2 linked regions of the Oreochromis niloticus genome follow. The protein of the gene in region 2 purifies or fractionates together with the protein of the main gene of each other region. This does not show direct contact. Links are inferred from orthologs where the notes say so. Each region holds a gene or a part of one and is shown on either strand. Other genes may lie near its edges.

The links.
Region 1: the proteins of tnfrsfa (region 2) and cflara purify together in Homo sapiens (affinity purification with western blotting; 5 studies listed by BioGRID and IntAct, with this or other methods). This does not show direct contact. The link is inferred for Oreochromis niloticus from reciprocal best matches to the Homo sapiens genes TNFRSF10A and CFLAR.

Annotation. Positions count from the first base shown.
Region 1 is NC_031987.2:13,977,562-13,990,667, forward strand, and holds the start of cflara (CASP8 and FADD-like apoptosis regulator a), read right to left. Parts: upstream 5,487-13,106; 5' UTR 5,247-5,486; intron 5,152-5,246; 5' UTR 5,092-5,151; coding exon 4,805-5,091; intron 4,723-4,804; coding exon 4,617-4,722; intron 4,472-4,616; coding exon 4,336-4,471; intron 2,641-4,335; coding exon 2,585-2,640; intron 2,490-2,584; coding exon 2,465-2,489; intron 2,278-2,464; coding exon 2,231-2,277; intron 2,129-2,230; coding exon 2,050-2,128; intron 1,215-2,049; coding exon 713-1,214; intron 621-712; coding exon 491-620; 3' UTR 1-490. UniProt on the Homo sapiens protein: Apoptosis regulator protein which may function as a crucial link between cell survival and cell death pathways in mammalian cells. Acts as an inhibitor of TNFRSF6 mediated apoptosis.
Region 2 is NC_031972.2:13,493,385-13,506,160, forward strand, and holds the start of tnfrsfa (tumor necrosis factor receptor superfamily, member a), read right to left. Parts: upstream 5,991-12,776; 5' UTR 5,714-5,990; coding exon 5,681-5,713; intron 1-5,680. UniProt on the Homo sapiens protein: Receptor for the cytotoxic ligand TNFSF10/TRAIL. The adapter molecule FADD recruits caspase-8 to the activated receptor.

The sequences.
Region 1 (13,106 bases), on a different chromosome or scaffold from region 2:
CAGCACTGCACTTGGTGAGCTCTTTAGAACGGCCCATTTTTTCACAAATGTTTGTAAAGGCAGACTTCACGGCTACGTGCATGATTTCAGAGACCCGTGGCATTGGGATGGAGACACCTGCGCTCAAAGATTAAGAAGTCCACAAGTATAGTTTAGCTGCGCAAGCTGATGAATGTCCTCTTTTTTTATCACAAGGAAACAGGACCTGGACAGTCGCCTCCGCTCCAAAGTCGGTGGCCTCCTCAGTGCTGCAAAAGCACTGAGGAGGCACTAAGTTACTGATAAGCAAATAATTAACTTGAGTTCGAGCTGCCGTAACTAATTATCAGTGTGGATGTTTAACTTTTCCATCCCCACACTAACTGAATTTAACATCTAGTTACAGAAGGGTATCAGGAGAATTCAGCTGAGGAGCCACAGTGACTCTAAGGTCTATCTGCTGGTACCAGATACTTCACGGTGTTTAGCAAACAAATAGTAAATAAATTCTTTATTGTAAGTACAGATCTCTCCTCAGGGTGTGTTTTACATCAAGGTGGTAGTTGGCTTGTGGATTACTTCTGCTGTGTTCAAAGACGACATTGTTCACCTCCATTTGAATATCATCAATCTTAATTTTCCTGTAAGAGCACAAACAAATAACAGTTTAGCTTATAAGAAACTTATAAGAAAACTACCATGATGATGGGGTAAAGTTAGATAGTGTTTATACCTGTTTTGGGCTTTGCGCAAAGCATTTGTCAGAGCGTTCACATACACAGAGCTATGTTCCTCTTCTTCCAGCTGACGCTCATCTGTCCAGCAGTGACTCCAGAACACATCTGCATCCATAGGAATAGCTGCTGTGACAGCCCCATCACAGCCATCTGTCTCGAGGTGCTCATCATCTAGGTTCATCCTGGGGCGCGGGGACAACTTAGGTACGTTGTATCTCTGGATGAAGAAAAGTTTGGGCTTGCCCGCCAACGACGGGCATCTATTAGCATTGAAAAGACGCCTGACTTCGTTGATAGAAAATCCATATCCAGTCGAATCTGTGCCCAAAAGTTGACTTTCTGTGCCACGGCTAATGATGCAGCACACAAAGCTATCATTTCTGAGTTTCTCCATCTTATTGAGAATCATATTGAGAGCTGAAAACACCTCATCAGAACTCAGATACTGGTGGACATCCACGCTGAAGTGAAGAGCCTTAAATGTTTGTTCCAATTTTTCTGAAGGAGTGAGCAAAGATGAAACGAGAATTTAAGCATCACCTTGACAATAATTTAAAAAGACAAATGTAGCTTTACATTTTTTAAACACAGATCAGTGGCAACCAAAACTACTGAAAGTGTAAGGGAACATTTATGATCTGAATACAATGATTAAAATGCACATTTTGACAGCAAAAACTTGCAACATGCAAAAAGTACCCCTGTTAGGCAGTTATATGCAGCTGTAAAGCACTTTTAATTACATTTGAGCTTCTGTCCTACACTGTTTGTTCTTGAATTACACTAAATTTATGTTTCAGCTGTAGTTACATCAGACTTTTTATAATTATACTGCTACAATAAAACACACACGTTAAGCTTATAAAATATAACACATTGCTCTTTCTTTTAGAAGCTCACACCCTTTGAATTTTCCCTGCCTTCTAAAATAGCTACATTTTAACAACTGTCAAGAAACCACAAATAAGTAAAATGAGCTTCCCTCTTCACGAAAGCTGCAGACATAAAAGAAATTCCCAAAGAAATACAATCTGAGTAGCACAACAGTTTTCTTTTTCTTCTCTCATTAAGAATTTTTCTAGGATGGGGCTGGTCCCTCGTTTGGAAACTACCCAATAATACATCGAATACAGATAAACCTATAACTGTAAAATCCTGTGTACACAATGATGCATCAGCTTTAAAACCTATTACAGTATGTGGTGATCATCCATTTATTTTTCTCCCCCAGCAGGATTATAGATGCACAACTATACCTCTAATTAAGGATTTCTACACTGTGATTTTGGTACTTCTGTTTAAGTAGAAAAGTACAAAGTGCTTTGTGTCTCACCTCCATCATTACCCACGCAGTCTATGATCACACAGTGTCCTCTGGGATTAGTGTTAAATTTATAGCAATCTGGCCCACTCTGAAATTCAAATGAGAAAGTGGGGAAATGTTGTAAATACAATTGAGTCATTCAACAGTTGAAAATATAATCAAATACTCAGAGAGGGAGGGGAATCCTCACCTCAGAGCGCGGCTGTACGCAGGCACCTAGTCGTGGGCTCACTTCTACTGCAAACAAAGAGTGTTATGGTTTAGCAGAAGAAGAAAGTAAACACCAGGGCCAACAGGGGGTTTCCAGCTGTAAAGCCCCTGTGAGACTAGATATCTGTCAATATGTGTCTCATGGGGATGAAAAGGTATTTTGATTACAAATATAGTCTTAGGCTACACATCTGTGGTATTTTGCTAGTCTTACCCATGCAGCGTTCTTGTGTAACATGCTGTAGAGGAAAAGAAAGAGGAGATATTTTTATGGCTTTAGTGGAGAAAACATTATGGGAAATGTGAACTAACATCTGTAAAGTGTCTCACTCACAGAAATTCTACGGGGTTGCTGCAGAGACAAATTTCGCTGCTGTTCAGGTGCCCTAGCTGTAAAAGACAGGCAAATATACATACATAATGTCTCTGTGTTTGCTGTTCTATTGTTGTCCTTGTTTAAAGAAAAAATATCCTATTACATTTGAAACATACCAACACATTAAATAAACAGCATTAAATTAGTACTGAAAATTGTATCTACCCTAAAGGGAAAGGTCTCAATGAATCCATGTGATGTCTTAAGTACGATTACCCTGAACTTCACTTTATAGTGGACTAAATAAGCAAGGCGGGCTCATGGTTGCAGGGGTTAAATAAAACTGAAATGCATTTTGATGTCATTTTTTTATGATCATAATCTTTTAACTTTTGCTTCAAAGTTGCTGAACATCATGACAGAGCACAGCCACAAAAAAAGTCCATCCATCCATTCATTTTCTTAGCTGTTTATCCAGTTTAGGGTCTCAGGTGCCAGTCCCAGGTGAACAAGGGCCAAAGGTAGGCTAAATTCAGGACAGGTTGTCACAAACTGAAAAATGTGTTTACCTTTAATACTGAGTTTTTGGTAAGGAAAATGTAATAAACTTCCAATTCTTTGCTTACTACACTCACCAGCCACATTATTAGGTACATCTTGCTAATACTGGGTAGAATGCCTTTTTGCCTTCAGAACTGCCTCCATTCTTCTCAACGGCATAAATTCAACAAGGTGCTGGAAACATTCCTCAGAGATTTTGGTCCATGTCAGCTTGATAGCGTCACGCATTTGCTGCTAAACATCAATGTGGAAAATCTCCCGTTCCACCACATCCCAGAGGTGCTCTATCAGATTGCGATCTGGTGACTGTGGGGGCCATTTGCAGTGAACTCATCGTCATGTTTCAAGAAACCAGGATGAGACGATGCGAGCTTTGTCATGTGGCGCGTTATCCTGTTGGAAGCAGCCATCAGAAGATGGGCACACTGAGATCATAAAGGGATGGACATGATCAGCAACAATACTCAGGTAGACTGTAGTGCTAAACAATACTAAGGGGGGCAATAAAATATCTCCCACACCATTACACCACCAACAACAACAGTGTGAATCATTAACGCAAAGCAGAATGGATCCAAATCTATGCTTTTTTCGTTGTTTAAGCCAAATTCTGACCCTACCATCTGAACCATCAGAAAGTGAAACTCGGCAGACCCAACCACATTTTTCTGATCGTCTGACGTCCAGTTTTGGTGAACCCATGGAAATCACCTGGTGTGGTCTGCTGCTGTTGCCCATCTCCTTCAAGCTTCAACGTGTTGCGCATTCAGAGATGCTCATCTGGGTACCTTGGTTGTAACGAGTAGTTATTTGGGTTACTGTTGCCTTCCTATCAGCTTGAAGCAGTCTGACCCTTATCCTCTGACCTCTGACATCAACATGGCATTTTCGCCCACTGGATAAGTTCTTGTTTTTGTACCATTTTCTGTAAACCCTAGAGATGGTGACGTGGGAAAATCCAAGTAGATCAGCAGTTTCTGAAATACTGAGATAGATATTTGCATTAATTGTGAGTGATTGTGAGTATCAATAGTTTCGGGTATGCTATACTGACGAGGAACATAAAACTTAAACCAGTTCTGTGTAACTAGTAGGGAAGTGTTTCCCACTTCTCACTGCAAAACTGTTACAAACCTTTCTCATGGAGATACTATTTTAAGCCCTTCAGTATATAAAGGGAAAAGGGAAACACAGAAACACAGTCTAACCTGAATTCTTGTAAGTGGTCAGTTTTTTGACTAGATCAATCCTGCCAATGTTTCTCAAGCACTCCTCTACGACGTCAAGTCTTTCTGGTGAGACTGAATCCAGCTTTTCAAGTTCAACAATAATATCCAGGAAACTCTGTAACACAAAGGGGGGGGGTCCCATCATTGACTGCAGCATGGTTTGTTACGGTAATAATAAATCCCCACCCACATACATTTCAGAATGAGTGAAAACAAAATCATGCCTCATTCATTCTGGGGTTTTTTGTGTGTTTTCTTACCTTTGTCTTCTCAAGCTTTTCACGAGATAATTTGCAAGTTAACAGGAATTTAATACTGTCCAAATCTCCGGTGTCCAGCTCCTCACTTAATTCTGCCATCAATACTCTGCATTAAGTGGAACAAACACTGTTAACTTCAATTCTTCAAATCTTTAGGATTAATCAGCTCATCTTAAAGGATGTCTTACCTGAAACTTGGGACCATTTGTCTGGTCCTCTCCAAGTCATCCCTGCTGACTTTACACACCTTCCTTAGGATATCCAAACGCCCCAAACAAAACATGAGCTGTGCCAGAAACAGGTGAGCGTTTTGATGGTGCGTCACTTTTGATCTGAGCATCTCCTTCATACAAGCCACACTGTGGTCCGTGTCCAAGCTTTCACATAGATAGAAGAGCCTACTGCGTTCATTGCTGCTGAGAGCTTCCGCGATTTCATTTATAGCATGTAGCTGAAATTGTTCCGGAACAGCCATGTGGAATTTGGTAAAACTTTAAGAGGTGATGAGTCCAGAATAAAGAATTGTAGTCAAAGCCTGTGGGTCACAATAATCGCCATGTTAAGATCCACAAAAAGTCGTGAAAATATAATAACCCATCACTAATAGACGAAATTATAGAGAGAACTTACCGAAAAGAGTCCTGCAACAAACACGTAGCAAAGCAGAAGAAGGGAAACTATAGAAGTGACGCACCACTTAAAAACCCGAGGGAGGGGATTTACCAAATACTTCCCAACGTAAAATGAAACCAGCGAGGATCCGCTTAACAAAGAAAACTTAACCGGATGAATACCATATAAGTTCTGTCCTTTTACAAAAACTGCGCAATGGCACAACCGAAAGGGAAAGCAAAGAAAAATGGCAGCCGATAGACCACACCCACAAATGAAGTCATGGCACAAGCACGAGCGGTGAAGAGCCTCACCTCCAGGACCTTCCAAGAAAATATACTGTCTGCAGATTTTTTTAAAAAGCACTGAAAAATATGGAATAATCAAGACACTAATATGGTTCATAAAGAACCCAGGTCATCAGTTACAAAATTAGATCTAAATGCGGTGAGGGTGTTTTCAGTTAAGGTTGACTTCTGCGAAAAGTTTACAGTCTAACTTATGACAATTGTCAGCTGCAACCTTCCACACGCCACTCAATCGTTGTCGGCTGCATCGACCCCAACGTAGGGTTACATGTCTTGGGAGGTGCACCTCATGTTAATTAGAAGGTTGCTGCGAAGGGTTAAAGGAAATTTCGAGGTTACGTTGTAAGTTATGATGCAGATTTCCTGCGGAAGTCTAAATCAGGCATAACTGTGGTGCTGAGGTCAGTTACATCTCTGTCTAATCCAAAAACAGACTCAAAACCTTGTTTTTTCTCACAGGCCTAAATTTAACTGTGTAAAATGTGTAAAATGTAACTGTGTTTAACTCTCTGTAAAGTGTTTTTTGCTTCTATGTTAAGCATTTTGATTTTTACATAGAATTAAATGTGCTATATAAATGAATTTGTCAATGCAATAGATTCTTTTTATTTTTGTTTTATTGTTTGTTTGTTTGTTTGTTTGTTTTTACCAGAGAGAAAATAATTTTCTCATACAAGTTGGAAAAAAGATAAATGTATCACTTAAGTGGATCATAATTTGCAATAACCTGACTTTTTCCCTCAGCAAAGAATCTTTTTGCCCATCATGTATAAAACCAGCTACAGTATATTTTCTTTTAAAAAGAGCGGGGCTTTGTAGTTTGAACACCTATGACTGCATTTTACACAACAAAGTGACATTAGTTCATTCTTTGGATTTTGTGTTTATCATGCTGTGTCATGCTGGGATAGTCGTGTGCTGAGAGATTTGAGCCTCACGTTAAACGCTGAACCACTAAAGATGATAATCCTGCTTCTCTGCCTGTAAGATCTCTCGAGGTTCAACCAGAAGCCTCACTAAACTCTGTGAAAATAAAGTCTTTAGAAACAGCTTCCTGTCCAACACCTTTCACCCACTGAGTGTTGCAGCAAGGGGTAGGTGGACCCTCTCCTCTTCGGTCATACTGTGGAACAAAACAGTCATGCTTGCCCTGTTGCACAGAAGCAAATCTATGTCAGAGGCAAATCTGCTGTAATAAGTCCCTTTATTATTCATACATCATCTGGTACAATTATGTTTAAATTGTAACAATTTAAACTTAATTTAATGTAATCTAAATGATTCTTTATTAAAAATTAAACAGCAAAGCTCTGAATATTTGTTTAAGTTATGTATTTGCTATGCTGGTTTTATTACATTTATCAAGCTGTTTTTGTTCTGATTTCACAATAGTCTTACCTTCTCTAGATATATGCTTTGTCATGCTGTATTGTTTTACTGAGCTGCATACCATTCAGCTATTTAAGATATCACATCTCATATGTTTGTTGGGTTTAAGTTTTAACTGCTGTAACAACGGGATAATAAAGTCTTATCTTAATCTTTTTATCTTTTCTTTCTTAAACAGATTCAGTGGCTTATAATGGGTTTCAGACTGTGGAGGGATAATCATACATATTTTTAAAATTATTTTAACAGCTATTTGTGGCAATATGAGCGTGTTAAACCATTGCAACTTTTCCAATGGACTTGAACGCACCACTGCTACTCCCCCTGCAGGCCGCCGGAGATTTATCAAAGCTCACTGAGTTCCGCTCAGCCTGGCCAATCGTGTCTCGCTGTGCCTCAGCACCATCATTGCAGTGTGGAGAGATCATACGGAGGTACTGCTGGCGGAGAGAGGGACCATTTGAAGAAGGGAAGATACACGACCCGGGTGACCGCTCTGACCAAACACCGTTCCCGGTTCCCCAAAACAGCCACTGTGTAGCATCACTATAACCAGCTTCAGTCTGAGTGAGTATTTAATTTACTATTACAAGAGGAAGGATTTTCCAGGTAGTCGCAGACCGGGGCTGCTGCTGCTGCTGCTGCTGCTGCTGAGTTGGAACATCACAGCACAGTTGTTGTGTTGATGTGGATGTAAACCCGCGGCAAGGAGGCTTCAACGTCTGCGGGGTGTCTTTTAGGAAAAGGACCACACAGCAGATTGCTCTGGGCTGGAGCCAGGCTGGCAGCAGTCAGCCGCCCCGGCCTGGTCACGACTGATGGAAAAACGAGGATGTCCAACAGCTGCTGACTGTAACAGGCGTGCTAACGGCATTCGAGCCGAGCTAAGGTAGCTAACGTTGGCGTACAGGTTCAGGCTTCGTGGCAGTGTCGGAGCAACCGTTTGCTAGCAGTTAACTACCTGGCTAACATAGCTGCGTGACCGTTAGGACTGCACGATGTCTTCAGTGTTTAAGGTTAAACAGTGATTGTGTTGTGACATTACACCACCAACTACATGTATCCACCGCAATTTATACAAACACGTAGCTGAATTTGACAATACGTTGCAGCACATTTTTAACAAACGGTTTTATTTTGAAATTGATGTAAAAAACAAAAAAACAAGCGGAAGTCCCAGGTTTAAAACTCTCGACTGCATTTATAACTTTTTTTTAGTCGGATTCATTGCTTCAGAGTAAATAACCCATGTGTAGAAACACACTAGAATGGCCAGTCTGTTTGTGTGTGTGTGTTTTAAGCCCTTATACCATAATAACTTTAAACTTGCAGCAGCTTCAAGGTGATTTCAGGTCCCGTCATAGATGCATTCCTATAGTTTTATGCTGGAATGGCTTAGGTATGAACAAATAACTTAAACAATGCTGTGCTAATTCACCTAATGCATGCCTCTGCTGCTCGATCAATTAATCAGTCAATAAGTTAATCAAACTTTATTGATATACCATCATTCGTGGAGGTTAGGGCTGTTCAAGCTGCTTAATAGATGACTGATAAGCTGATCATGAGGAACAATTACTGAAACTAAAGTAAGGCTGGATTAAAAAAAAAGAAAAGGAAAAACAAACAAACAAAAATAATACTTAATAAACTGTACTTGGACCGAGCTTTGTATCACTCCAGATAAGTAGTTTCTAAATTGGGTGCTGAGGTCTATTTGTTTGCTTTGAGCCAAGTGCCTTGGGATTGCGTGTCAACCAAGCAGTATTAGTGTAACTGCACTTACATTAAATAATAACATTTAAATATGCTTTATTAATACACATTAAATGACTATCATTGAGGTGTGTGTGTGTGGGGGGGGGGGGTCCTGATTGATAGTGGGATAACTAATGCAATCCACTTGAAAACCCATAAAACCTGCTTTAAAACACCACAGGTTATGAATTGGAGGTGGTGGAGGTTTTTCAAAGTGATCATCAAGCTAAGCCTGTTTGCATCTTTCTTTTTACATTCCTTCTTCCATACTGACATTTTGCTGTGGCTCAACACAGCAAACAATAAATTAAAAGGATACTGCTTGGAGTGATATTGGTCTAGGCTGATAAGCCACCATTACACTAATGGCATAATGAGCAAAGGTGTGGAGCTCAAGATCTAGATAATTCCAAGCCATCTGCTGCTCATCCTCAGCCTTCATCCTCCTCTCTCCTCCTCCTCCCTTGCTGTATTTCCACCACCATGTGTTTTGGGACTAGGCTATCATCAGAGCTGCGGCCTATTTTAGACAGAAACTCCAGTTACCCACTTAATCTGTGTCTCATTTCTCCAGGAGTTGGGTTTCATGTGCTGCTCAGTGAAGTAAATGGTAACCTTGTCGGTGACTTTGGATCATATTGTGAAGCTGGTGGATTTGCTCGATGAAGGATTGTGTGCTCATAAAACTATTGGCTGATGGTTTAAGGACTGTTATGACCTTTGTATTAATATAGTGTATGTGAGATTTGACAGCACAATGGTTCCACCTCTGCACCGAATGCGAGTAAACTGAGACATCTTTGAGCCAAAACAAGTTTTGCCATACCGGTATTGAGCCCAGTAGTGTGTTGCCTCCTTCCCACCCACCAACAGTGATGCACACGCTTAGGGGATCAAAGCTGTAATTAGCCTGCCATGGATTAGCAATGGGGACTATTTTCCATTGTACTCACCCACAGCGCCAGAGGATCACACAGGCAGGCAGCCCCCTGCCCTTCCTTTCCTTCCAGCAGAGAAGAGCTGCATCACCATGTTTGTTGTTGTCCCTATGAGTCCACAAGCAGACAAGAAACCTCACAATTCCTCCCTGTAGAGTCTGAATATGTGGGGATTTCAGATTAGAGCATTTTCTTTTTGTTGGCTATTATTTAACATTTAAATTGGTTTCTGTGCATACTTTAAAGTCTTCAGAGGAGTCAGTTTTATCATGTTGCGTGCGGTCTTGAGTCAGCTGGATATGTGGTTGGCATGCAGAGAGAGCCGCGGGGCGGCTGATTCACTGCGCTGCCAGGTATGAGCTCTGTCTGTGTGTTGGCTGTCTCCATGATGTACAGTGTATCTCTCCGACATGAGTTCATGAGAGGCCGAGAAGCATGATGTTTGTGCTGAACTACTCCTACAGCTACCAGTATTCGTAGGGATCCACTGATGTATAATCACGGCCCCGTGTTTCACATCGGTTTTGTGATGCCTAAATGTTCACTGATGTGAACTTTACAGTTAATCTTAATGAAGGCTTCTTTGTTTCTTTTGTACAAAAGAGGAAATAAATTACACAGAGACAACAAAATTAACAAAATTTTAACATTGGCATCAGCACAGAATTTAACCGTCATGCATATAGCGCTTAACAATATTTTTTTACCTGCAGATTATTTACTTAGTCGTTAAAATATAAGAGAATATTGTAAATGTGTGTTAAAGTTATTAATGACCAATAAATCTTACAATATGTGATTAAAAACACTGCAAAACATTCCTTGACATGTATTAGGAACTTTCATCTATATGAACCTAATCGTTGCTGTAATGTTCAAAATAGTGTTTTTTCTGTTACAAATAAAGCAGAAAGTAATAGCATCTGTATAGCCAACATATATCGTTGCACTGTTAAACATTGTCGCATGATCACAGCTTTTTGTCGTATCGTGAAAGCCAAACTGTAGTTTTGAACATCTTAAAGTGTATTCAGAAGGTGAGCAAATATCCAGAACATATATTTTATATATTTGATCTAAATGGATACATAGTGTATGGGTTTACACACTCGCCTAACAAGCAAAAGATCCCTGGTTATGTCCTGGGAGTAGATATGAATCACTTAAAAAGGCCATAAATCAGGAAGGGTATCTGATGTAAAAATCAAAATATGCGGAGCTATCCAGTGTGATATCATATCCACTAATATCTGCTAATATGATAAATTTTTTATTAAGGTAGTTGTTGAGTCATTTTCTGTCAATTAATTCATTGACTTATTGAGAAATTAATGCTTGTTTATGCTTAAGTCACACAGGTATCAAGACCATTCAGTGACGTATCCCTCAACCCTGGGTCACTAGGAAAAATGTTTTAGGCACCACACTGTATGCCACTTTGCAACCAATTTCACCCAATGACTGCCATAAATCACATGCGATTCAATCAGAGAACACATTTTTCCCTAGGGGTTCACAGACTGGTCTCTAGGCCTGTGTTATGGAGGCTGTAGTTTTTTTTTACTTATGAATTGCATCTTAAAAAAGCAGGCATCACTTCTATATCGTCAGTTGTACAAAAGTGTATGAGAAAATACCCAACGCCTTTAAAACACACATACAGTTGACATATGTAGGAACTGTTAAACATACTGTTTGCACAGAGCATTTAATAAACAGTGCTTGTGGGCACTGCATCAAATATGAGACGAAAGGAGAACACATCGCTGTACCAGCTCTTTATTAAACACCTAAGTCAAACCTTTCTGATATGATGTGACAGACGTTTACATGTGCTTGCAGCGGAAACATTTAAAGCTGTCCCTGTTTATATTTAGGTGGTGATTGCTGGCAGTATTTGCGTTTTTGTTTGCTGAGTCTGTGTGAATGTTTTGATTGTGTAAGATTAACTGTACTATCCCCTAAGGGAAGTTGCCTGTTCCCATGTGAGACAATAACAGGCTTTATCTTCGTTCTTTTGTACAGTAAGACTGGTTACTAGTGTGTCACAAGCTTTCACCTGCTTTAGTGCATTTCTGTCACTGACTGCTATGTTTGCATACCTCTGTTGATAAAGTTGTGCCGTTAGATCAGTTAAATTTTAAGCCGCCGCTTTACTCAGGCACAGTGAATAGGTAATTACCAGCAGGTATTTATCAACCATGCTCAAACCTATCTTATACACTGTTAATGGCAAATTGAGAAAACAAACAAGGCTTTTAGTGCATAATGAAAGTTGTATTTTTCCTACTTTAAAAATTGACATTGACATTAAATGGCAAACTGAAGAGTAGAAATGTTGCTAATGGCTCAGTCACACTAGAATTAAAATAGGACCGCAACCTCCTCCTTGTGCACATTTAGTGACCGATTCAAAGCACTTGCAGCAGCCAATTGATCTCTAACAGACTGAGCATGCAACACCTTCAACCTCGATTGCTTTTAAGGTAATTGCAAAGGTCGCTTAGTGGGAGGCAACCTGTCTCCAGAGAATCCTAGCCCAACTCATACTAACTGCAGTCACTCACAGATGGATTGGCAAATGTTTGTAAATAATTGTCTGGTTTAACAGACAGGTTGCTAGCTCGTTGCAGTTGATCTCCGTCTGCTCCAGTGAGCATAACTCATCTGCAACGTTTCTTTGCAATAGAAGACTTGACGCAACTGGTTGCCAGCTGGTTGTTGTCTTGTTATAGTCATATATAAAAGCAAGGTTAAGACACAGTGCCTGCGTCTTTTTGCAGTTAAATCATTGTCCTGCAGCAGCTATCTCATTATTGTGGAGGAATTTTTGAATTTCTGTTTCACATCTGTGAGGTTATGGCTAGACTCTGAATTAAAGTAGTTAACGTGAATTTGCATGTTCTCCTTCTCCCTGTGTGGGTTCTCTCCAAGTACTCCGGCTTCCTCCCACAGTCCAGAGATATGACTACATGTTAGGTTAATTGGTGATTGTGACTTGTCAAAAGGTGTGATTGTAAGTGTGAATGGTTGTTTTTGTCTCTGTGTTAGCCCTTCAACAGACTGGCGAGCTATCCAGGGTGTAGCCTGCCTCTCGCCCTGTGACAGCTGGGATAGGCTCTGCCATGACCCTGAATTGGATAAGTGGAAGAAGATGGATGGATGGAATGACCAGTGAGAGTCAAAGTTGGAAGCAATAGGATACGTCTTAACTCTTTTTCATGATATGCTGCACTGCCTCCATGTGGGTGCAGCTGTAGCTGTGGAGAGAGAGAACCCATCAGGATAGCAGTGGGAGTAGCAAAGCAATATTGTCTAAAGATTTTTTTCCTAGGCAATTCTGTGGCAAGGTTTAACTAAATAGGTTTGACAGGTCGCTAATAGATGACGACAAAGTCACTAATTAGAAACAATTAGGTGACCTGAAGGTGATCATTGCTTCTGAGAGGTGAGAGAGATGTCATGTACCCAATCCAGAAGTTGAA
Region 2 (12,776 bases):
TGGCTCTGATTACTGTCTGAATATTCTGACTGGAAGTGGAGGTCTCTGCATGTAGCTTGTTGCCTATTCTTTGTCCGTCAGTTGCCCTGCGATGCACCTCTACTGCGTCTAGAGCGCTGTCCTTACTGTGTGACGAGTTGCACTTTTGTTTAGTTCATGCAGAAGAACTTGAAAAGTGCTTTTATTAAGTAATGGCGATAAACTCAAAAACATGTGATCTACCAGATCAAGATGTGAGATTGTGTAATTTATGATGTTTGGTGTTACTCTGTCATCACGTAGTCATTTAAGAACTGAAATACTGATTTCTTTTGTAATGTCATGAGTATATAATTGATAATTATCACTCAAAATATGTTTATTGTGATTTCATTTCCTAATTTAAGATCAAACTTCATGTATACTCTGTCCTAAATTAAACGTTATTTAATATGTTTTACATGTTACAATAAGGGGTTCTGGGTCTTAATGAAACGGTTTTGTACTGTACAGTTCAAATCCCCCAGGACTGACCTTGACATGACAGTAAACGCTTTGTGCTTTACAGATAAATCCTGGCATTCCCTGGAGAAAGGGGGTTGATCATGCACAACTTTCCTTGAGTGATAAATTACGCTGACATTTTGGGTTAGATTATGAAGACAAGTACAGCCCAGCTTCTGTCAGGAGAAATAAGTCTGACACTCGCTGCATGGCTGTAAATAAATTCAAAGTTCAGCCAAGCTCGCACACATTCATCATTATAAAGCTGAATGATAGAAAATGAAGAGAATGGCTCCCGTGTCAGTGCAGTACAGTTAAGAACAAGAAGGCGCTAACAGTTTCAAAACCACATTGTTAGGCCGCATACGCAATGCACGCACACACACACATAATATAGCACACAAGCACACATACAGTGCATGTGTGGGGAGCGTGTGAAAAGCGGCTGCCCCCTCCTCTCAGGGAGCACAGGAAGCTCGAGACAATACAGAGGCTTCATGCAGGGTTCAGCTCCAAACTGTTCCCTGCACAGCAGCCTGCCTTAGAGCAGGCCCAGCACCCGATTAGACCCACAGCATATCCGCTAGGCTGGATATTTATAACTCAGGGAAGCTGCAGCTCCATAGCACGAATTCTTGAGTTTCCTCAGGAGGTGCGCTCCACTGATTAGATGAGGGTGACAGTGTGTCACAAGCAGGTTTGGTGACATTTACCAGGGGGAAAAAAGAAAAAAAAAGAAAAAGAGAAAGAACGATGATCCGCGATGACGACAGCTGTATTGAATTTCCTGAGAGACTCTTGACCACAAGTTGTCGAAATTACTGATACCCTGACGTTGATGTTTACCGCAAAAAATGTTTCACTCATCAAAACAATGCAGCCAAAGTGGGTTGCTGAAAGTTCAAAAGGTTCCACACAGTTGTAAGCAGGTGCAGCGTGACACTTTTGTAGTTTTTCGTTCGAATTATTTTTGTTACGAGGTCGAGGTGGTCTCGGTTGGCTGTAAAGGTTGACTGCTCGTACGTGTACGCCACGTCATTGTGACTCATACAGAACGTTATGGACATCCAATTTGAATGTCAATCCACAAATCATATTTGTGTGCTGCCGGGCTATTAACTTGGCCTTTTCAGATTGTGATTAGGCCTGTCACAGGGAAGCTAAGCGGTGAATCACAAGACAACTCCTGCAGGGAGGGAATAAAAAAAAAGAGCAAAGAAAGGATGACTAACAGATTTAAGAATGAGCAGGAATCCATCACCTCGCTTTAAAGACAATCACATTAGCTTCACTAAAGCTCATCTTTGTGTAAAAGGGAGGGGGGCAGTTTGAAGTGCTGGCAGTTTATAGAGTTCTCTATAAACACACCGCTGCAAAAAATGTAGAATATGTGACTGGTGTAGCAGGTCAACAAGGACTTAAGTGACCATCAGTGGCTGGAATTTGCACCAGATTTATGCCTTTGTAAACAGACTTCCATTTTCTAGACAAAGGTTGAGCTTGTTCCGAGACTCAACACTTTTATTATAATCTGCTCATTCATTCCAGGAGAGCAGGAAATCAGAAGATATAGCACCGCTGCAAAACCTTTTTCTGATCTGGCTTCATAGTACGTCAGGTTTGGAAGGTGCCTTTAGGCCACGACTGTACTTTTGACTAAGTTAATCGATTATTATCGACTATTAAGGAAAGGAAATCATGGAATAATTCAATAATCAAAAGGAATGCTGTCAGCTGATATCAACCTTGATATTGGCATATCGGCAAACAAGATCAAAATCAGCGATGTCATCATTGATCTGCTGTGTGACATCACTTCGCCCTGGCTAAATGCTCAAAGGCGTTGAAATGAAAAGATGACCGACATTAAATACACAGCAAATTTTGAAGTAAAGAAATAGCAACAGAAACATAGTAAACAAACAGAAATAAAAATATGAGTTGGATCAGTCGGGATTTTCTTTAAAAATAAATAAATAATTTTACTCGTGAATTTCTATGAAATTCAAAAATAATTACAGTGTAAAATATTTTAACATGAGACCAACAGTGGCACTATTAAAAAACAGAATCGCGCACAATGATTCTTTATACTCGGTGGAAGCCGAAAATTCAAAATAAAAGTAATAAAAGCAATTTTCGAGCTTTAGTTAAACCAGTACAAAACCAAAAGGAATCACTGATCAGTAATACCAAACTGTCCGTCACGCCACAAAAGATAGGATCAGGGACCATGTGGAGCTTTGTGTAAAAAGTGACTGAAACAAGCAATAAAACAGTGGAGGAGTAACTGCATGACTGAATTATCTATAATCAAAATTCCAAATTTGTGTTAGCAACATTTGGAGAGAGACACATCACAGTGCTGTTTTTACTTCATGATGTTCTTGTATATATGAACAGTTACTTATGTGCCATGTGCTCATACAACACACTCTACTCTTTTAGCTATTTTAAGCCATGTTCTCACTTGAACTCCAGACAGTTATTAGAATCGGATGAGGACATTGCCCACACTTGCCTTTTCTAATATGCAGCAGGACATAGCTTTTTCCAGGGTTATCCTTACTAATGAAACACTGTGTTTTGTTTTGACTGCCTTCGTAGATGACACAAGTTATCCATAATAAAACGTTGTCTCTGTGCATTCATTGGACCATTACATGTGCTATTCTCAAATAGGCATAACTAAACATAACTTGGATATGGTGGCAAATAGCAGCCTGTCCCTGAGCCTAGTTCTGCTGGAGGTTTCGTCCTGTTAAAAAAAAAGTTTTTCCTTCCCACTGTCACCAAGTGCGTGCTCGTGGGGGGGGGGGGTCGTCTGATTGCTGGGTTTTTCTCTGTATTATCTTAGGGTCTATTGTAGGGATCTGTGGTCGTGATTTCTTGCTATATAAATAAAAATTAACTGTTTTAATGGGCACCTATATCAGGTAACGTCTAGAAACAGGCTTCTATGTCCACAACAATCCTTCGTAGCACTTTCTGACATGGAAAAGAGTGCCTTCCAGTAAAGATTACCTTTTAGCACTCACAGTGTGACGCAGGGTTAGGAGCCAACATATCAGAATGAAACTAGATGAGGTTATTCTGTTTATCTTGATAGTCGGGATGTTTGACGTGGAGTAAATTATCTCCACTTATTTCAGTTCGGGACCATTCAGATGTGAGCGGTGACTCGCCTGTGTTGGTATGCATTACGTGGGTAGGCAGCACCTGAACAGGTGGCACTCCCTCCATGAGTCAGCGAGCCCTTTGATAAGAGTAGGGTGATTCACCTTGGCAACTACAGGTCCACACAGGATAATCAATTGGCTAACAATAAAACATCCTGGGCTCTCTGAAGAGCCCACATAAAAAGGCACAGACACCACCTGGTATCAGACACTGAGTTACGCTGCATTGCATCATTCGGCCTCTCTACAGCTTCTCTAAGCCACAGGCATGGTTATAACTGTTCACATGGTCACCGAGCAGAGCGGCAATAAGCAGTGGCTACAGTATTAGGAACACTAGCGTTGCCGACCACTGCTTGTCCCCAGTGTCATAGTTTGGCCTCCGCTTGTCCCAGATGTCTGTCCTGCCCTTGTCTGTGTAGTCCACAGAGACGGAGAGGACTATTTCCTGTGTGAACCAACACCCAGACACACAGTAAACAATCACAGATAAAAATCTAGTGTACATTTGCATGGGCATGACAATTCTAAGAAGTAAATTGATGCCACTAATATCAGCAAATCTGTATACTCAAGACAGGAAGTTTACTGGACGGCCAGGCACGTACACTCGGGCAATTTGGAGGGGTGCATGTGTGTGTGTGTGTGTGTGTAGGGGGGGGATTAGAGAGGTGGGGAGGAGGAGATGGGGAGGGGCTGAAGTTTCCTCATAGTCCCTTAGCAACAAGGCCTGCTGGCGAGGCCTCCAGAATGTACTGTGGTTTACAAAAGAGATAAACATTGACTTTGCCACCCGGAGAAGTAAATCGGATTTCAGTAATGGAACACTGCATGACTTAAAACGCAGATCAGACAACGGGGAAAACAAACACTGGAGCTCCAGGCCCATCAGAAGATATTACATTTACTTTTAAACAGCTCCATTTACAGTGAGCAGAGCCACAGTGGGCATGTGTGATGAAATGCCACTGACAAACGCCACTACCCTCATCAGCCAAACAAGCTGCCAACGCTTGATTTGTTCCGTCATTAGGAACTCATATCATTTTCCACATCTTATCTCGTGTAGCGTTATCCTGGTGTAATCCAGTAAACTCTGTGTGAGAAAGGAAATAGATCTCCTCTAATTCAAATGCGTATTTTGCATTAATCAAAGTACTTTTAATGCACGACAAAGGCTTCCAGTCTGCTCACAGTGCTTGTAGTATGCGCGGCACAGTTGGAAAAAACAACAGGGGAGGAATGAAAAGACATCTCTGTGAAGGTCTGAGTGGAATAAACTTCAAGAGAGAAATAGCTGAGAGTTGTTATGGACTAACTGGCAAGGTGAATTCTTAGCTTTCTGATTACACATTCAGTCATGCTTCTCACATTCTACACAATTTGATTTAAAGCTCGTTTGAGGCAGGAGGCCCACGGCCGCACAGTTCTCATTAATAGCGGCTAGAGGGCCAGCTACATCCGCTGTGACAGACCGAGAGCCGTCATATGCTGAATGTCTGAGGAGTGTGACCGCATGATGTCCAACACAGATGGTGGCTGTAGTGTTGGAAGAGAGAGGGGGGCGAGTGAGTGAATGATACAGCACATGCACTGAAGAGAGCAAAGACACAAAAACCAGAGTATTTCTGCATTTTCTCCAGAAATAAACACTTTAATCATTAACAACAATAAACACAGTGTTGCTTCCTGTGTCTGGGACAATGCACGGACTTGTTTCATCTTCAAGTTCACAGGCCTGGACGTGATTTCAGCTTCCACGACACTCTTATCTTTGCCCGCTCTTCGCTTTAACTTAATGAGACAGAAGCCTTTTTTAAAATATATACTTTTAGATTATAAACCTTTAGATTATCCGAGCGGCAGCTTGAATTAAGAGGCTACTTTGGTAAATGATTTTTATAGAAGCTATCAAGTTAGGAGCGTTAATGAATCAACAATCCACGGGACACACGCAAATAGAGTGGTACACATTCAACAAAGAGCGTATTTAGAAAGCAAGTGTCGTGTTTACTTACATGAAGTTTTCCGACCACCGGATCGAAGTTCATCTCGGGAACTTCGCGTTGAGAGACAATCCCAGAGAGCTGGAAAGTCGCTTTACAAAACCCAAACTACTCTAAAGTCTTTAAAAAACCCCACACATACAGCGAAAAACAAAACAGTGACACGAGTTCGACCTACGCTCGCTCCTTCGTCCGGTTTCTTTCATGAGTTTAACTCTTTTTTTTTTTTCTTTTAGTGTTCAAACTTTACGGATTTTTCCTGAGAGAGGAGAAACAGACACGGTCTGAGCACCAGCGAGGAGCTTTTTCTTTTTTTCATGCTTCGAGCACTTCGCGTGACGTCAGGCTGCGAGCCAATCACAACCCGTTCCCTAGAATAATAATGAAGGAGGAAATTGCGAAGCTTTGCAAAGCAAAGTAAAACAGCAACATTTTAACACATTTCACTGCATTAATCGCTGAAGACCGTGTGTTGTGACTGGGTGACGTGTGTAACACTGTTTCATGCAAGCAGAGGGGGTTTCTTAGAAGTCTGCAAATCATCACGCCACGAGACTTTGATCAGCGTGTAGTGGTAACACACTCCAGCTACATTAACCTGAGTATGTAATGTGTAACTTACTAGTAACAACCGGCTAATGTGCAACAAGTTGGAACTCAAGTGAACAAATGAGTGATCCCAAAGTGTGACACCCTCCATGCAGAGCACTGAAGTGGACTCGCTCTTACTTCTGATGATACCTAATAAACCTAAAGTTTAACGGTTGTTTACAAAAAGATCAGATGCATTGTCACAAGGAAATTTTACTAGTAATTAGTTATTTGCAGATCATAATAGGATAGGGACTCAACGCTTGGAAAAGTTATGGAACGCTGAAGAAAACATCTGGTGGAAATTTTTTTCAACTAATTAGTAAAATGACTGGGAATAAAAAGAGCATACCACAGAGGATGAATCTTTGAGAAGTAAAGCTCGGGAGGGGTTAACCAAAAGACTTTGCTAGCAAATAGTTTATTCTTACTCACCTCTTTTTGCCATGTGTGCATACACCACTTTGCATTTAATTGTTAGTAAACTCTTGATGTCTTTCATAGTGTGTCTTTAATCCTGCACACGCAGCCCCCCACCAGCCTGGTTCTTCCTGTTAAAAGGGAGTTTTTCCTTCCCACTGTTGCCAACTGCTTGGTTACGGGGGTCATCTGATTGTTGCTTTATACCTTACAATATAAAGCACTTTGAGGTGACTGTTGTTTGGCTGCTATGTAAATAAAATCAAAAATTGTATTGAGCTGAAATAGTTTTGTAGCAATTTATGTCATGTAAAGTCAACCATAAGATTTAGAGAATGAAAAGAAATCCTTGTATGCGACGGAAAAGGCTGAAAAACAGACCTGCATAGCTCTGGATGACTCTGCAGTAGAAAGCACTGCATGGGCTCAGGAACAGTGGTGGAAATGAACAAATGCTGCGTCCAAGAATGCAAATTAGAGAAATAACATACATTAAGTTAGCTCAAGAAGACCTGGAACCTTCTCTAAGCATCGTATTTTAAGTAGGCTTGAAGTGGAAAACTGTCCTGTGGACTGTGAAAATTTGAAATAGTTTTTAGATATCCTGGACACTGCTTCCTCTGGACCATCAGGGTTTTTTTTAATCAGCTTGCAGTTTAAAAGCAAGCATCTGTGAGGCAGTAAGGAAATATAGGCAAAGATAAGGTTTACATTTGTAAAGAAAACTTTAATACAGAATGATACATAAAGGTTTTGTAGCAGCATATGCTATTATCCATCATCTTTCTCAAAGACGGCTTGCTCATTTCAGCTAGACAATACCAAAGCATGATGGACGGGACTCAAAGAACCCTGCTGCCCTCCTGAGAACATTTGGCACGTAATAAAATAAAGATGATCGTAGCGGTCTCAAAAACAGCAGCACGAGCAATCATAGAATAAGTGAAGTACACAAAATACTTTTTTTTTTCAGAACTATGTCAATAGGTCCTGAGTTCCTACATGCTCCCAGAGAACTGTTAAAAGAAAGTTTGATGGAAGAAAATGTGAACCATCAACATGTGTGACTTTGACGTGTTCAACTGAAACTCAAATCCATATGAGGATATGGAGTAATATATTATGGAAACAGGGATTTAATACAATGAGGAGAAAAGAAACCCAAACAGTTCTGCAGTTTATGCAGAAAGTTAGCTACTATTTAATGACAACATAACATTTTTCCACCATTTAGACTACATCACAACAATAAACATCCTCTCAAATGTGGTTCCTGCTGACAACATCTTATCTGGAATGGGGCTGTGGTCTAAAGCCTCATGTCTAGGGAGCGGGAGGGGGGGAAGCAGAAGATATCGAGGCGTACCTACATTAGACCTTGCCGGGGTAATTTGCAACACATACAAATAAAGAAACAGAGCCAAACAACTAGTATAAATAAATCACATGCCCTCCACTCACTTAGACAGGCGTGTGACGAAAGAAAGATTGGGCAAGTTCTAGACACATTTAAAGTAAATGCTGTCTGGCGTGTGTCTCACTTCTCATTCACCAGCGGACAGACAGATTGCTGTGTTTTGAAACATTACAGTGACTAATTAAATGTCTTGTGACCAACGGCACAGTAGTGAATTTTACAGGAAAGTGGGGAGCAGAGAGGAGAGTTTTGGTTTAACCCCCCCCTCCAGAAAAGCTTGGGTAAATTAACTGCTGATTAAAAACTGAGTGATCTGGTCACAGATGAGTTCTCATGCCTGGCAGAACATCTGAGAAAAAAATACCGAATTCACAGTCCTCTCCCAGCTGTGTTGTTTATTCACAGGAAGCTGCTGAAAAGTGGTGAGACTTAAAGCTCCAAATGGAAGCATATTTCACTGTGTATAGACAGAAACATTAAATAAACACGAACTATCAAATAAACCATGTAGTTTTCTCTAGAAGTTGATCAGACTTGAAACTCAATCACCGTAACAGGAACAAACAGCATAACACTCATCCAGTTGTCCAACAGATGCAACTTATCTGCTCCTCCAAAGTTCAACATGTGTTTCAATTAAAACTGTCTAGGAAATCTCTATCTGTATCTTCCACTTGGAGCACATCCTGTGCTCCTCCTTCTGAGGTCACAGGCTACGTGCTGAAAAACAGGAAGTGTGTGATTGAGTTATTTGCAAGCTTATCCTGAGCGAGTCTGTATTAATGGCTGCTGGGTTGATTAGTTCACATAGCCAACTTGTGGAAAAACAACAATCTTTACAGCTTTTCCAATTTGTCATCTTGAATTTAAGGGAGAATCTTTGACCTCCTCAGAAAGGGATCTTTGCTGGATAAAAAGATGTGCAGTTGAGGGATCATTTGCATAGCCTGTGTGGGAGTAGTGTGATATAACACTTCTGTTTTTACAGTACCGCATAAAAGTCTTGAGCTACCCTTCATTTCTTTATATTTTGCTATAGGAAAATTGGAAATGGGTGGAGCAGGTAAAACATCTACAAACATACATAGACATACAGGATATAAAGAAAAAAAAACATTTGTACGAGTCTAATGAGCTTAAAAGTCAGTATTTGATATGACCACCTTTATTTTTCAACACAGCCTTTAATTGGTCTTCAGAAATAGGTGTGTTGGAAACAATCAATCAGATGCTTTCCAGATGATATTACATGGTAGATTAAAATTTGACTGTATTTTCAGCTTTCATAATTGCATCAATTTTGACAAAATCCTGAAATGCAGTCCAAACCATGACAGAGCCTCCACCGTGTAACAGATGGCTGCAGACACCCACTGTTGTTGCTCTCTCCTGATCTCCTCTGTACATATTGATATTGATTTCAACCAAAAATTTCAACATTTTTCTTCCTGTTTCCCTTCCTTAAGAATACCTTCTTGGCTGCCATCCTTTCCATTGAGACCCTTTCTGATAAGGCTTTGGTAGATGGATCAGGTGAAGTGCATCCTCAGATTTTTTGAGGACACACTGCATATCATGCCAAGGCAAGTTTTTGGCTAATAGCGTTTTGAGAATCACATAAATGCTATTTTATTTGATGTCTAATAAACTATTTATTCTTTGGTATTTTTTTTTTTTAGATTCAGCCAAAGAAATGAAAGCAACTGATGTGCTTTTGTAACAAAGTGCCTAAAAATACAATTACAGTTGTTTCTTTGCTAAGTTGTCTGTTGTGTGTACATACAACACTGATTCATCCCTTGAGTTATGTCTTTTTAAATGCTTGAATGACTCATAGGTCAGTGTTAAGTGCCTTAACAAAAAAAACCAAAAAAAAAACCAACTCTGAAAATGGTCATGTACAAAGACTCGGTGAGTCAGTGTCCAAAATAAAACTTTGTAAGACCTTCAAACCCAGGGACCGCTTTAAAAATGAGGAAATTACAGAAAATCTAACTTTTTGGAAGCAAAATATAAAGAAGTGAGGGATGCACTGTGCACTGTATTGTATATCTATAGGTGTATGTATGCAACAGATGAGGTTTGTTTTTTTTTCTTTTTAAGAGAAGTGACCTACGGGTGAAAAAAACGAAAAAAATAAATAAAGGGAAGGGAAACCTTCCTGAGCGTCAGTGACTTATCGTGTGACGCCGGCTGTGCATTGTTTCACTTGTTGTTTATGAGGGATGAGCAAAAAAAAAAAAAAAGTGACAAGGAGCTGAAATAGAGGATGTAAGCCTTGTGAAGATGACTGAGATCAGATTATTTGTAAAGCAACAGAAGAGCTGTTATGTCACTGCAGCATGACTGTTGCCGTGTCCTGTAATTGTTTCTGATTTGATTTTGTTATAAACTTAAAAGAAAAAAATGCATAGCAGCGACTTCTGGATCCAGAACTGTCTAAAAATTCGATCCACATTCTTCGGAGAGCAGAGACACGCGGCCTTGCATCACTTCAACATTCTTATTTGTTATACTGCATATTAGAACATCAAACTTGGTTTAATCATTTAATGATGGACTTTAACCCCTGACGCCTGCTATATAGATTGAATTAAGACAAATAAAGCGTTAATATTTGTAAGAGAGGCTAGCATTATTAAGGACTGCACTCTAAACATACAGTGGTGTTCTTTAAGAGCTTTCAGCATGAACAGCAACAGCCAGAGGGTGGTTACTGTGTTCAATCAAAGCCGAAAGTTTGTACTGTGAATGTTGTGTTTATGTTCCCATCATCTGTGTGGAGGATTGGAAAATGAACTTCATCTATTACAGTCCTCCTTCTCATTACAGATACAGCAGTGGAGAAGAAATGCATTCACACCAATGGTGTTATGTATTCAAAACACTTTAAGAAACGAACCTGCTGTATAGCAGCTATAATATAAGAAAACCTACCAGGATTACTTTTTATATAAAAGGGTTGTTGTGGGGAAAGAACAGTCAACCAAAAGTGTGTTGAAGCAGCATATGGTGCTGTCTAATTGCATTTTAGGGACACATTATGCATGTTTTTTAAACAGCGTGGCTTCGTAGTACCACTCTGACTGCAGTTCTGGATGGTAGCTCATTGAAAATTGGAAAAGAAAAAACAGGACATCTAGTTTGGGCATCCTCGTGAATTCAGACACTCAACAAATCAACTTGACTTACTATTAGTCAATGATTTTGCGATAAGACGGCTAAACTATTTGCCACTTCAGCATTGCTCGAGTCACACCGGACGAGTCAGGAGTAATCGAGCTAGATCGGGGCGTAAATTAGGGTAAATCAAAGCCAATGCCTACCTCTTTGCCAAGTTTAATGGCAATCGACCTGGTAGTTTTCACCTAATCCTAGTTACAGACTGGAAAACAGGTAAAGAAAACCGACTGATTGCATGATTAAGGCAGAAGCTCGGCTGGTGATAAAACTGGTAGAAATAAACAGTTTATGTATCAAGAAATCAGCTGATTTATTAGTGCTGTTCCCAAGTCATCCAAAAAAATCAGTTGTTGCAAATTTGATTTAGATGAAAGCAGTGTGCTTTAAAAAGATTCAAGGTTTTTTCCCCCACCCATAAATGCTGGGCAATGGATATTTAGGCATATTTCAATGTCCAGCACAAGCATTCTTGAATGTGAGGGTTTTTTTGTTGTTGTTGTTGCAAAAAGTAGGGGTAGGGAAAAAGTTTCACCTTAAGAAACTACAGACAAAATGTGTGTAGGCCTTGACTCTAACACTCACACTGACAATGTGAACTTTGCAGGGAATATAGCACATCGTAGACCCACAATATATGGATGAAAGTACTGGGCCACCACTAATTTTTGAATTTGGGTGTTTTCAGTCTCATTGCCACAGATGCATGCTGCCCAGTGCCTTAACCTAAGCATTTGTGAAATAATGGATCACTCTGAAGTGCAAAGTGAATTTGAGTGTGGCACTGTAACAGGAAACCATCATTGCAACAAGTCTATTCATGAACTTTCTTCCCCCCGATATTCCACGATCAGGTGTAAAGTGGTATTATAAGCACTGAGGTGCACAGTCCGTAAATGTCTCCGGCAGTCTGTTGACTCAGTAACTGAAGAGCTCCAAACCTTCTTTGGCATTAACATCACCAAAGAAACTTTGCTGGGAACTTCATGGCATTAGTTTCCACGTATGACCACTTCCTGTATATAATGTATGTCCCATGAAGTAGATTTACATAAAAAGGACAATTTATCTTATTGCTAGTAATATATGATACAAGATTAGACTGCAATAGTGAGGATAAGTAAGGACACGGGTCTTGTGAAAATTGCCTTTGTGAATCAATGTCCTCTTAGTAGTGCCGGAAAAAAGAAAAAATCAACTCATGCCAAATTCCTAAAGTCATTTGACAAAAACAGAAGACACGTCGTGTGGGAGTTCCTGGCAAGATACACTGGAAATACAGTGTCAAGTGCCTTTGTGTCAAACCAATTAACACTTTGCTTCAGTTAGAGAAAAGAAGGGTTAATAGTGGTGCTGATAAGGCAGAGGGAGGGGGCGAAATAAAGGAGCTGTCACAGAGCAAAAAGGAGGTGTGAGAGAAAAGCGTCCTGACCGGTTCTGTCTGGTTAAAGACGAGCCGTATATGAAGGCGGCGGATTATGACTGAGTGAGGAATGCTCG